2 linked regions of the Drosophila melanogaster genome follow. The protein of the gene in region 1 interacts with the protein of each later gene in a biochemical or structural test. Each region holds a gene or a part of one and is shown in the gene's direction. Other genes may lie near its edges.

The links.
Region 2: the proteins of CG12096 (region 1) and PI31 interact in far-western blotting, tested with the Drosophila melanogaster proteins (one study listed by BioGRID).

The regions. Positions count from the first base shown.
Region 1 is NC_004354.4:13,157,829-13,163,448, forward strand, and holds CG12096 (uncharacterized protein), read left to right. Parts: upstream 1-1,985; 5' UTR 1,986-2,054; coding exon 2,055-3,205; intron 3,206-3,261; coding exon 3,262-3,631; 3' UTR 3,632-4,089; coding exon of another isoform or gene 4,090-4,379; 3' UTR 4,380-4,454; coding exon of another isoform or gene 4,455-4,528; 3' UTR 4,529-4,586; coding exon of another isoform or gene 4,587-4,741; 3' UTR 4,742-4,799; coding exon of another isoform or gene 4,800-4,944; 3' UTR 4,945-5,026; downstream 5,027-5,620. Other genes in the region: Bap60 (brahma associated protein 60kD), read right to left, coding at 1-25, 86-1,369, 1,438-1,545; Lgr4 (Leucine-rich repeat-containing G protein-coupled receptor 4), read right to left, coding at 4,090-4,379, 4,455-4,528, 4,587-4,741, 4,800-4,944, 5,237-5,351, 5,428-5,620. UniProt on the Drosophila melanogaster protein: Acts as a chaperone during the assembly of the 26S proteasome.
Region 2 is NT_033778.4:11,966,546-11,972,084, reverse strand, and holds PI31 (proteasome inhibitor 31 kDa), read left to right. Parts: upstream 1-1,969; 5' UTR 1,970-2,059; intron 2,060-3,234; exon of another isoform or gene 3,235-3,345; intron 3,346-3,430; exon of another isoform or gene 3,431-3,605; 5' UTR 3,606-3,633; coding exon 3,634-3,801; intron 3,802-3,853; coding exon 3,854-4,248; intron 4,249-4,305; coding exon 4,306-4,555; 3' UTR 4,556-4,742; downstream 4,743-5,539. Other genes in the region: ADD1 (ADD domain-containing protein 1), read right to left, coding at 1-360, 479-947, 1,010-1,103.

The DNA.
Region 1 (5,620 bases):
GATTGCCAGCTACATCGGTCATCAGCTGAAAGGACGAAAGGTTTAGACAACGGTATGAGGCAAAAAAGAAAAAAAAAGAACTAACCTTCAAATCCCTCGTCTCACTGATGATCCAGCGATGAATAAACATTTGTGGATCCTTGGCGAAGCTTAGGAAGAACTCCCTGTTCGTCTTCATCTGGTTGATCGTGTCCACCGTCTCGTGGATCTTGGTGTCCAGCCCCTGGATCTCCTGTTGGCTCGCAGTGCTCATCAGGAAGCTGTTCATCTGGTTTTTGAGCGTATCATCCACCTCCACATCGATGTCGTAGCAGGCAGTCTGCTTGTTCTCTGCACCGCTCTCAATGAAATGATTGATCACAATCGGATCGGGCGGATGCAGCAGCGGATTGAGGCGTTGCGGTATCTCGGCAAACTTCATCCGCTGGCAACTGAATATCTGCTCCAGATACTTGTCGCAATTGATGTACTCCCGCTCGTGGGCATCCTGTAGCTTGTGCGTCTTGATGTACTGCCACAGGGCGGATATGATCACCGGCCTGGTCTGTGTGTGTACGCCCAGCAACCTGGCGAGTCGCGGGTCCAGCTTGAACTGCAGCGGCTGGTAGTCAAGCAGCAGGAGGATGGTGCAGCGCACATTGCGATCGCCCGGCCGCTTCACCTGGAACCCGTCCGTCTCCTGGGTGGTGTGAGTGCGATGCCACTCGACCAGATGGTTGTCCGGACCGTACAGTTCCTTATCCAGCTCGATAACCAGCGACTTGAAAAACGACGAAAACTTGCGTTTGATCTTTGTATTGGGATCGCCCTTGCCATCCTCTAACAGGCGACCCTCCACCCGCAATTCCCAAGAGGCAACGGCGCCCTCCTCGCCATCATTTGTGGGCTCCTTGCTGGGATAGAATGTGTTCGAGATGAAGATGCGCAGCTTGCGCTTCTGCTTCATGGGGCGCTTGAGGGCCTCCTGGATGTCCAGACGTTTGCGCATTATGGTGGCATCCAGTTTTCGCTCAAACGTCAGCAGATCCATGTACGCTTGCGATTCGGGCACCAGATCCCGCACCTTCTGCGGCAGTATCTTTTCGGCCAGCTTCTTTTTCTTTTTGGCCGTCGCAAAATCACTTTTGCTACCACCGCCACCCAAACTGCGGGATTCATTTGACCTCTTGCTGCCTCCGCCGGATCCAACACCGCCACCTCCGGCTCCAGTACCGCGAAGGCTGCTCTGAAAGCCCGGCTGTTGGGCGGCGCGCTGCAGTAGCGATGGTCCCGGTACGCCGGGTACTCCAGGAACTCCCGGTACCCCGGCCACGTTCGCCGTGCCGGGAACAGGTTGAGTAGTGTTCGGATGCAGGGGAAACCCGCGCGGCTGTTGCGGATAAGATTGTACATGCTTAATTGAAACGGTAGGTGCTGGATAATGCGTGGAAAACTCACTGGAAAAGAGGCGCCTGGCGGCGGATAGGGACGCATGCCGGGCGCCGGTGGTGGTGGCTGATAACGCGACTGCACCGGCGCTTGGCCAGGTGCAAAGCGTTGCGACATCTTTGCTACGAAGTCCTCCCTTTTTTCCAGCCGTAAACAATTGCCCTTTGCAGACGAAGGAAAATTTCTGCCTTTTTGTTTCAATACAACAACGCGTCAAACACACACACAATTTCGCCTGTAAAATGGCGTCAAAACAGGGATGCACTATTACTGGTGGTGGTCGACTGGGCGATAGATATTACAACGTTTGGCAGGGCTGCGGCTATCATTTTGCACTTTAATCGAAGTTATTCATTTCAATAGAGTTACAGCTATATAGTTGGCTTTGAAAATATACTTAAAAACTTTCAAGACATTTGTAACAAACAAACAATACGATAAGGAATATACTAGCACTTGCTACTATCGATCGAAAACATTGGTTTGCCCAAACGCTCGATAGTTGCAGTGTCAAGCCATAAACATAAGCAATATCGATAGTCGCCAATAAGTTCGGACAAGTAACGTCTTCTGAAATCGAAGAACGATAGGTTTGAAACCGACTGTCATTTTAACACAGAAAACAAATGGAAATGGAAGACAATTGGTGGGTCACCAAGTTAAAGGCTCTGGAGTCGAAGCCACAAAGGCTGGATGCGCTGACCGCCATGAACTCAGCCATCGCAAAGGAGGCGGCTCTTCCGCGTCAAATAATTGAACGCCTGCTGACCACGGACCAATTGTATGACTGCGCCAATCCCGCCGCGGATTCCCATGTTCCCAAGGATCAGGCCGTGGACGTGACCCTGGAATTGCTGTGCCACTGCCTTGATCAGCTGGCGATGGACACCGCCGACGAGCAGCTGTCCAGTCTGCTAAGACGTGGCTTGACCCACTCGAATCCAGCCTTGCGTGCCCAGGTGTTGGCCAGTTTGTTCAAGAAGCTGCTTCGCCAGTTGACCGTCGGTCAGGTTCTCACCCTGCCCAACAATGAGCTTATTTTCCTCATCTTGGACGAGCTGAAACAACCGGATACGCAGAGTACCTCTCTGGCCATCAATATCCTATCCATCGTGCTGCCTCAGCGAATCAGCAATGCCGATGTGCAGGCAAAGCTAGTACAGCTCCTAAAGCAAAATGAGATCGTGCGCTGTCGCGCCTACGAATTGGCAGTGGTCCTGGCCAAGAAAAGTGCCACCTTACTCAGTGACGTTACATTTATTCTGGATGCGGCTCTCAGCGAACTGGATAACGACGATGTTTTATTGCAGGCTAGCGTAATGGAGCTCCTAGTGCCACTGGCCGAACAAAACCATGGTCTGTCCTACATGGAACGTCGTCGCGTTTTGGATATAATCAGCTATCGGGTCCAACGCGTCGAAGAGCATCCGCTAGACGCCCTGCTCGTTCCCAGCATTATGAAGTTTTTCGGCAAAATTTCCGTATACCAGCCTCTGAAAATCATTGGCGGCTACCCGCACATGCTGGCCTGCTTGTTCATGCAGCTTCAATCGGAGGATGAGAGTATTCTGCCCACTGCCATGGATACGCTTGCCAATTTGGCCACTACTCCACAGGGCAAGATACTGCTGAACATGCACTTTAGCGGGGCCATGGAGAAGTCCTTTAAGAAGTATGGCTCGCATACTAAGAAGCTATCGGCGCACATCAAGAAGAGGCTGCTCAACTCCCTGGATGTGATTTATGACTTCAAGACGCCGCCTGCCACAGAAATCATGTAATGCTTAACTCTATAATTGAAGTTTTTCTTCTAATGATTCTCTTCTTTTTCAGTAACATTGGTAAAAACTGGTACGAGTGCTTCGCTGGGGGAGCGCATGCTAATATCATTATGGACCTGATAAACACTCCGTTCCCCGATCTTCAAATGGCCGCCTTGTCGTTCTTGAAAACCATTTGTAAGTACAACTGGGGCATTGTAGCTCTAAAGAATACCGGCGGTGCTGTGGAGTTCCTTCTTTCGCGTCAAAAGGATCTGCACAGGGACATTAAGTATATGAAGTGGCAAATTATGGAGATTCTGTCCGCTAGCGCTGAGTTTTCGCCCACCGAAACCATCCGTTTCACGGCCTATGTGAACGAGGGACCCTATCACGTCCAGGCGGATCTCGATGTAGCCACTGAACCTCAGGGCAACGCATAGAAAGCCGGATGGCAGGCATTTGCGGCCTTCGATTGCAAGTCCTATGTTCAAAAGCTTCAATTAACATCTGAATATGTATTTATAAAATTAAAATTTGATTTAACTATTAGATCACATGTAACAATATCCCATTGGGCAGGTCGAATAAATGGGGATGCAACAAATAGTTAGGATATTCTTTGGACAGTTGTAAGAGGTTTGCCTTAAAACGATTGGTAAAATAAATAATATACAAAAAAGAAACTTAAATAGCTGGAATCTCTTGTCTAAGGTTTATGTTATCATATCCTCAAATGTTATAAGTAATTTAAAATTGATATTAGAATAAGTATCAATAAGTACGTATAATACCAATAGTCTAAGGGACCAATTACATGGAAGTGTCCTGTTGTAATGCCACCCACCCACTAGCCCCAGTCTGTTGATCTCGTGCTGCATTTTAAGCCAGTTGCGCCCGCCTACAGATAGCTCATCTGCCGGTGTGACATCCGCTTTCGCCCCGACCCGCCGCCCACACCACCGCCCAAGTGCGCCAGACTGACACTCAGTCCGGACTCGTAGGCAGTCTGGGTCTGGGATCGGGTCTCGTTGTTCACCAGCGAGCAGCTGGGCAGGGTGTGACAGTAGCGACGCAGCTGTTGCTTAAAGGCCGCAGTGGTCAATGTGTAGAGCACTGGATTGAGGGCCGAGTTCACTGGCAGCACAAGAACCGCCAGCCAGGCGTAAAGATCGGGCGAGATTTCGCAGCCTGAAAGGGGTTATATATATACGAATAAGTTGATAATCAAAATAAATCATTTAAAGGCGTTGCCGATGAACTTGCCTGAAAGAGCAGCCAATTTGACCACAATTATGGGCAGCCAGCAGGCGCAATCGGTGGTCACAATGATGGCAAAGCTGTAAAAACATGATATTTCAATAATTAAATCATTTTACTTGAATTATCCAAACTTACCGAGTTGCTACCACATTCTCGCGACCGCTGTGAGTGCTTCGCATTCCGCCACCCGAATCCCTTATCGCTTGCAACATTCGAATGTAGGAAAAGAGGATGAAGATCAGTGACAACGTATTGACCAGGATGAACAGCAGCGCCGAGTACTCCCAACCCTAAAAATATACATTTTGGAATATTAGAACAGGCGTTTCCAAGGAAATGGTGTATTACCTTCGCATAGGGATCGTGGATATGCAGCGATAAGCAGACACCATTGTTGCCGTAGAAATGGCTACCAAAGTACGGATTGGGAAGAAGTGGAGCTGCAGCTAATCCGAAACTTATGCCCCACAACAGCAGAAGGCGTAGGACAATGCTGTGGAAGTTGTCATTTCAATAATTTATCATAGCTTACACATACAAAACCATAGCTTTTGCAAACTAAAATGAAGCAACAGAAAATATATATTGTACATAGTAAGGCGGCGGTCAAAACAAACATAATTGCATTTACGAACAAAATTCAAGTAGGGTAAACAAATTCTGTGCATTGATATTTGAGCAGTCAACAAATCAGCAAATGTCCGCAGCAAAAGTAATTAATGTAATAGAATAAACAATAACTTTGCCCAGCACTTTATTACATATCTATTGTAGTTCACACTTACCGAACTTTTTCCGTATCCCGTGGCTTGAGGGGCCTCGTCACCGACATCAGACGATCCCAGGTGACCAATGTGAGCAGCAGCGTCGACGACTGGCAGCTGAAGGTGCTGAGGAAGCCTACACGGCGAATACGTAATACACATTAGCATTCCATTACGAAATGGAAATGGCTAGGATGTCGAAGGATACGCACCTGCGAAGGCACAAACGCCGCTATGCCGCCAGGTCTCCTCGTATTTGATATACTCGCCGCGAAAACTGATATCCGCACAGGCAATCAATGTGAGGTAAATGCCCATGAGGAAATCACTGGCGGCCAAATGGCGAAGGTAGAGCGAGTGCTCCACGTTGCTCCGTGATTTGTAGAAGTAGCGACCGAGCAGGAC
Region 2 (5,539 bases), on another chromosome or scaffold:
ATCCTCGGAGTGGTGATATTTGCCGCTGTCACCGTCTGACGTCCAGTAGGCTTGGGCGTCACAGAGAGCTGGCAATCCGGCTCCAGCATGCTGAGCAGATCCGGTGTGCAGACCACTTCGTTGTTGGAAGCTTTAGCGCGCTTGGATGGTGGTCCCGGAGGAATGGTTTTTGGCATGGATCCCCGTTTACTCGAGCCCGCTGAGCTGCCCTGGCTGCGTTTGGAGACATTGGACTCCAAGCTTTCCATCGAGTCGGATAAGCTGCTGGTTTTCGACTTCGCCAAGCGACAGCAATTGCTGTTATCCTTAAGCATTTGACGTCGGGCCTCCACCTCGGGAAGCTGAAGGGTTTGTAGGGCCCTGCATTACATTAAATAAGAAAAGTCAATTTAGAAAGAGATTAATCACTATGATAAGTGAATGAATGAAAAGACTTAAAGATGCCATAAGCATAGACAAGTAGGACTAAAAACCGCACCTTTTCTGCGTCTGAAGATAGTTGACCAGCGCCCAGTGTTGGGCTCGTAGTGGCCACAGGATCTTGGAGGTGCAGCTGAAGCAGTTCCAGTTCTCGTTTTGCTCGATGTCCACGATGACGCCCTTGGAGAGGTTCTTCACGATGCACGACTTGCAGAAGACGTAGGGGCAAGTGGAGCAGCAGTATACCTCGCCGCCCTGTCCGCACCAGCGGCAGTACAGCTCAGAGCCATCCTCGCCCTTGGAGAACTCGCCGCTGTTGTAAAAATCGTGGCACTTGACGCAGTGCGTCACCCGCAGTATGGGATGCATCTTGATGTTGCTCTCGGCGGCGGGTGCTGTGCCCAGGTGAAGCTTGCACACGGTGCAGTGCACCTTTCGCTGGTTCACCAGATCTACGTTGGGGTACATCTTCAGGTAGAAGCGGCGCTCCTCGTCTGAAAGCGAGGGGTGCATCTCGAACTTGGAGCCTGCGTTGCGGGTATATGCAATTTATATGCAATTTTCCACTTGGCTGATGCCCAGTACTCACTCGTGAAATCCGCATCCAATTTGGCCAGTGGCGATGGCGACGGCGTCGCTACCTTTGCCAGGCCACTTTCGCTACCCGGAGCACTGTTACTCATGACTTCTGTTCCGTATCCGGGCCTCTTGGACTAGAGCACTGCGATCCGCACCAATTTTTGTTCTAAAACGCGAAAAATTCACGATTTTCTGCTGCCGCCGCAGAAAAAAGCGGCGCGCTTATCACTTTTATGTTTGGCAACACAATAACAACAGGGCTGCAAGGGACGCGTGTTTACAATTATTTATTAGTTGGGCAAACCGGGAAAAAATATTATTGGGAGATCCTGTACTGAATGCTTCGCAGCAAGTCTCCTCGAAAATGTGTCAGATTTTTTCACCCGAGAAAGACAGCTGAATATTCCGCATCAAATTCAATATGGCTGCCCCTTCGGGTTCCAGCCGAAGTAGGCTCTACGAAGTCTATATAACAAGTTCGGACCGATACTCTAAAATTTTCTTAGGAAAACATGGCTAAAATTTTGATCAAAAAGAATATTTCTTTTTTTTTGGCATCAGAGGATCATTAAATTAGCTATAATATCACTCTAATATCACAACATTTATTGTAAATTTTTTTTAATCATTTCTATCGTTTTAAAGGCTGATAAATATATTTTATATTTTAAAGAATGTTTTCGTATTCGTTAGTCTTTGCAAGCCTTGGCAACCCTAAACTTACTAGTCATCTCTTTTACACTCATCGTCCGTCCATAAGAATCCGAACGCGTTAAGAAAGAGACAGCATATATGTGTTATTTACGAAAAACAAGAATTTTTTAAACAAATCAATATTCCAAATTGCTTTATATTTTTAACGTTTTAATTTCTCCCGCATAAGAAATATTTGAGATATCTAAAGCATTTGGCGAACTGGTTCCAGGCAATCGATATATGTGAGACCGTATAAACATATCGAGTTAACAGAATTAGTAAATCATGACTTCACATAAAATCATTAAAACAAGTTTTCAGAACGCAACAACTGATCTTCAGACAACTTTTAAAAATAAATCAAGTAAGATTTTGGAAACATAAATTCCACAATGTCAAAATATCAGTAAAAATAACTTAAAGTAACTCGAATAACTTGAACGAGGAAATCTTAATGAATAGTTGATCAAAATAATCAGTCAGAAATAGGGAATTTTATAATTGTACACATATTAGTAAGTCGTAAGGTTTCGTATTATGAACATGTAGATGTTGTACTAAGCATTTCCTATTACTATTTTAAATATATAAATATATAAATAGACATTTATATATAAGAATTTCTTTATTACAAAGTCAATTGATAGTCGCTCATCGTTTCTATGTTACAATTACTGTTTACTTTTCTTGACTTCTTCAAAATATTTAAAATATGAACATATGGATCACATTAGAAATTTAATAAATCTTTTATGTCTGGTATTTACGATATAAGCAAATTTATAACTAGCCCGAAGCAAATTCTGAATCCTTTGAAATACCTTGACAATTATGTTGCTAGTATTAAGTTAATGTTTTTATTATTTATTTATATATTTTTATTAATGTTTGTTCTACTCTCACAAAATTTTGTATATTAAAAGATTTAATATATGAAATCTGTATCGATAACTATATCGATAAATCACATTGAGATATTAGAAAATTGAAAAAGGCAATAAATTTTTTCCAGTTTTAATAAATAGTGATGGGAAACTATCGATAGTTGCGCCATTCGATATTTTCGATGTTTGGAGAGCAAATTTTCGATATAACTTTAAAATAATAAAAATATTAGCAATTTTAAATGTTTTTCTCAAATAGGTATAGTTACCTTCCAATATTCTAGAGGATCTGTATTTTCCTCTGAGTACTTCGGATTAAAAAGCATTACAAAATTTTTCAATGTCCTACGAGATGGAAGCTTATATCGCGTATCAAATGCTTTCAGTATATCGCGAAATCCATTGTCCTCCACTACTGAAAATGTGCGCATATCAGTGGCTATGTACATACTTCATGATAACTCGCCGAGTTCTGCTATCCGACGAGAACTCGAGTCGTAGCTTGGAGTCACACATTAAAACTTTTCCACATTGTGAATATTTCGCGGTCTTACCATCAGTTGATTTAACAAAAATGAACAGCACTATCGATAGCGACAAAAAACCATCGATAGTGGCTCAGAAAAGTAAATATCCGATACCTCGATAATATCGATTATCCCAGCACTAGTTCTATTTTCACAAAGATGCAGCAATATTAACAAAGTCATTTATAATTTATTATTATTTAAACAATATAGATCCTTTTAAAAAACATTGAGCTAAGGTACGTCCAAAAGATTTAAAATAAAAATTGAGAATGTGGTGGTAACTTGCTAAAAACAACTTCTCGCTCTTTCCTCATTATTTTGTTTACAAAACTTTTAAAGCAAAGGTTGTCTTGGAAATTTATTCAGTATTTATACTTTCTGTAGTGGGCTTCAGATATTGAAACTGACGTCGCTCCAAGCAAACGAAATGTAAACATATTTATATATACTAAGCATAAATTAGAACGTTCCATTCGTTCTGTTTACTCCCACCCAGATTTTGTAAAGGATTATCGGTGGCCGCAATGGAAAGTGGGTCGACTGCCAAGACGGGCGATTTCTTTTACGGTTGGGATCTGCTGTACAAGACCGTTAAGGCTGATGTCTCCAAGAAGTCAGACCTTTTGATTGCCCTCGTCCATTTTCTTTTGACCAAGCATTACAACTTCCGATGCGTTGGCGTTGGCGATGATGTGAGTATGATTATGGCCACGCATATTAGTGAAATCATCTGGAATTCCATAGAAAACCTTGCCGGAGGAGGAGGGCAGTGAGCTGCTGCCGGACAGCTGGAATGATGACGATACCAAGTACTCGCTGCGCTACGTGCACGATAAGATGCTGTATTTGCTGCTGGGCCACATCACCGAGGGCTCCCTGCTGATCAACCTGTTGGACATCAACACTAAGAAGGTATCCAACATCTGCGTAGAACCAGAGACCCTGGTACCTGAGGTCAAGGGAGGCATCACCACCATAATGCCGAGTGCCTCAGAGATTGTTGAACGCTACCGTAGGGAGCTTCTAGACCCTGTATTCACGGGAAACTCGCGCGAAGTTACCACGCAGACGACCAACTCACCACGCCCCATTGGATCGGATCCAGATCCCTTGCGCATCGGCGAGCCAAGGCGTGGCGGGTAAGAACACTTGTGGATAGTTTTTTATACACTCGTTAATCGTTTCCCCTCGTTTAGATCCTTCATTCCAAGTGCATTCGAGCCTCGCCCTTTTGGATTTCCGGACGTTGGACGCGGGGATCTCGATCCACTGGGTCGCGGTGGTCATGGTAACCTGTTCAGCTTTCCATCACGCCCAAATATGGGCCCGGGACCCGTGCCCCGCTTCGACCCGTTCAATCCCCTGAACCCGAATAGGCCGGGACAGGGTGGAATCAATCCAGATCATATGCGCCCACCAGATTGGAATCCCGATTACTACATGTAATTACCAGGAATGCCATGTATAGTGAGCAATTCAAATCTTTAGTTTAAAGCAATGAAAAAAGTTTTCATTTTAGAAGACCAAAATTAAACGGATTGTTTTAAAAGATTATTTTTATTACGTTGCATACACAATACAGAATATTACAGAATTTTACAGATATAAAATAAAAAACAGCAGCCTGTTAGACAACGCTTGTTTGAGTTTTTACTAGAAAAATTCGTAGTTAAGAACATTTATCAAGTAAATACGCAAACAGGCCAGTTGAGTTGACGGCTGCTCAAGAGAAATTTACAATATACTTAAAAGCTTAACTGAACTCGTGATGTAATGGCTATTCATTCATTTCGTACAACAGGGTAAACAAAATTGGCTCAAGTGCGTAATCTCAAAATTGCTAGGGGAAAAGCGCGAAAAATCACGGCACTAAATGTTACAATGGTTTGCGATTACTCTTGTTTTTTTTGTTGCTGCTTATGCCTAGCCTAATATTATTTTACCATAATATTTTGCTAAATTAATATAATGTAAATAATATTTCAAGCTGTGTGCAGCCGGTTGACTTAAATTAGCTCTGCACGGTAGGCGTCGTTCCCTCTCACGCCGGGATGTGCAAGTGTTGTGGTGTGTTTTGTGCCTTGGCCGCTCAAAATCCGGCTAAAATCCCGCCCAGGTGCGGTGTGAACTACGCTCAGTCCCATTCCCCGATGAACATGCGTGGCGTGGGCACGTAGCCGCGCGTTGGCAGCGGTAAATGGCGTCCGTAGATGTGATTGTAGGGTGATTCAACAAGCTCCGAATCTACAAGAAGCACAGAAATCCGTGGTTAAAAATCGGGTGCGTGTACAATTGTCGGGATAATTATGTGTGCTGGGGTGGGTGGATTCTATTGGTAGACCCAAGCGGGTACTTGGTTGTAATCTGGTGAAGGTATTATCTGTTTAATTGCATTATCTCTTTTTTGGGATATAATGTAATGTAAGTGTA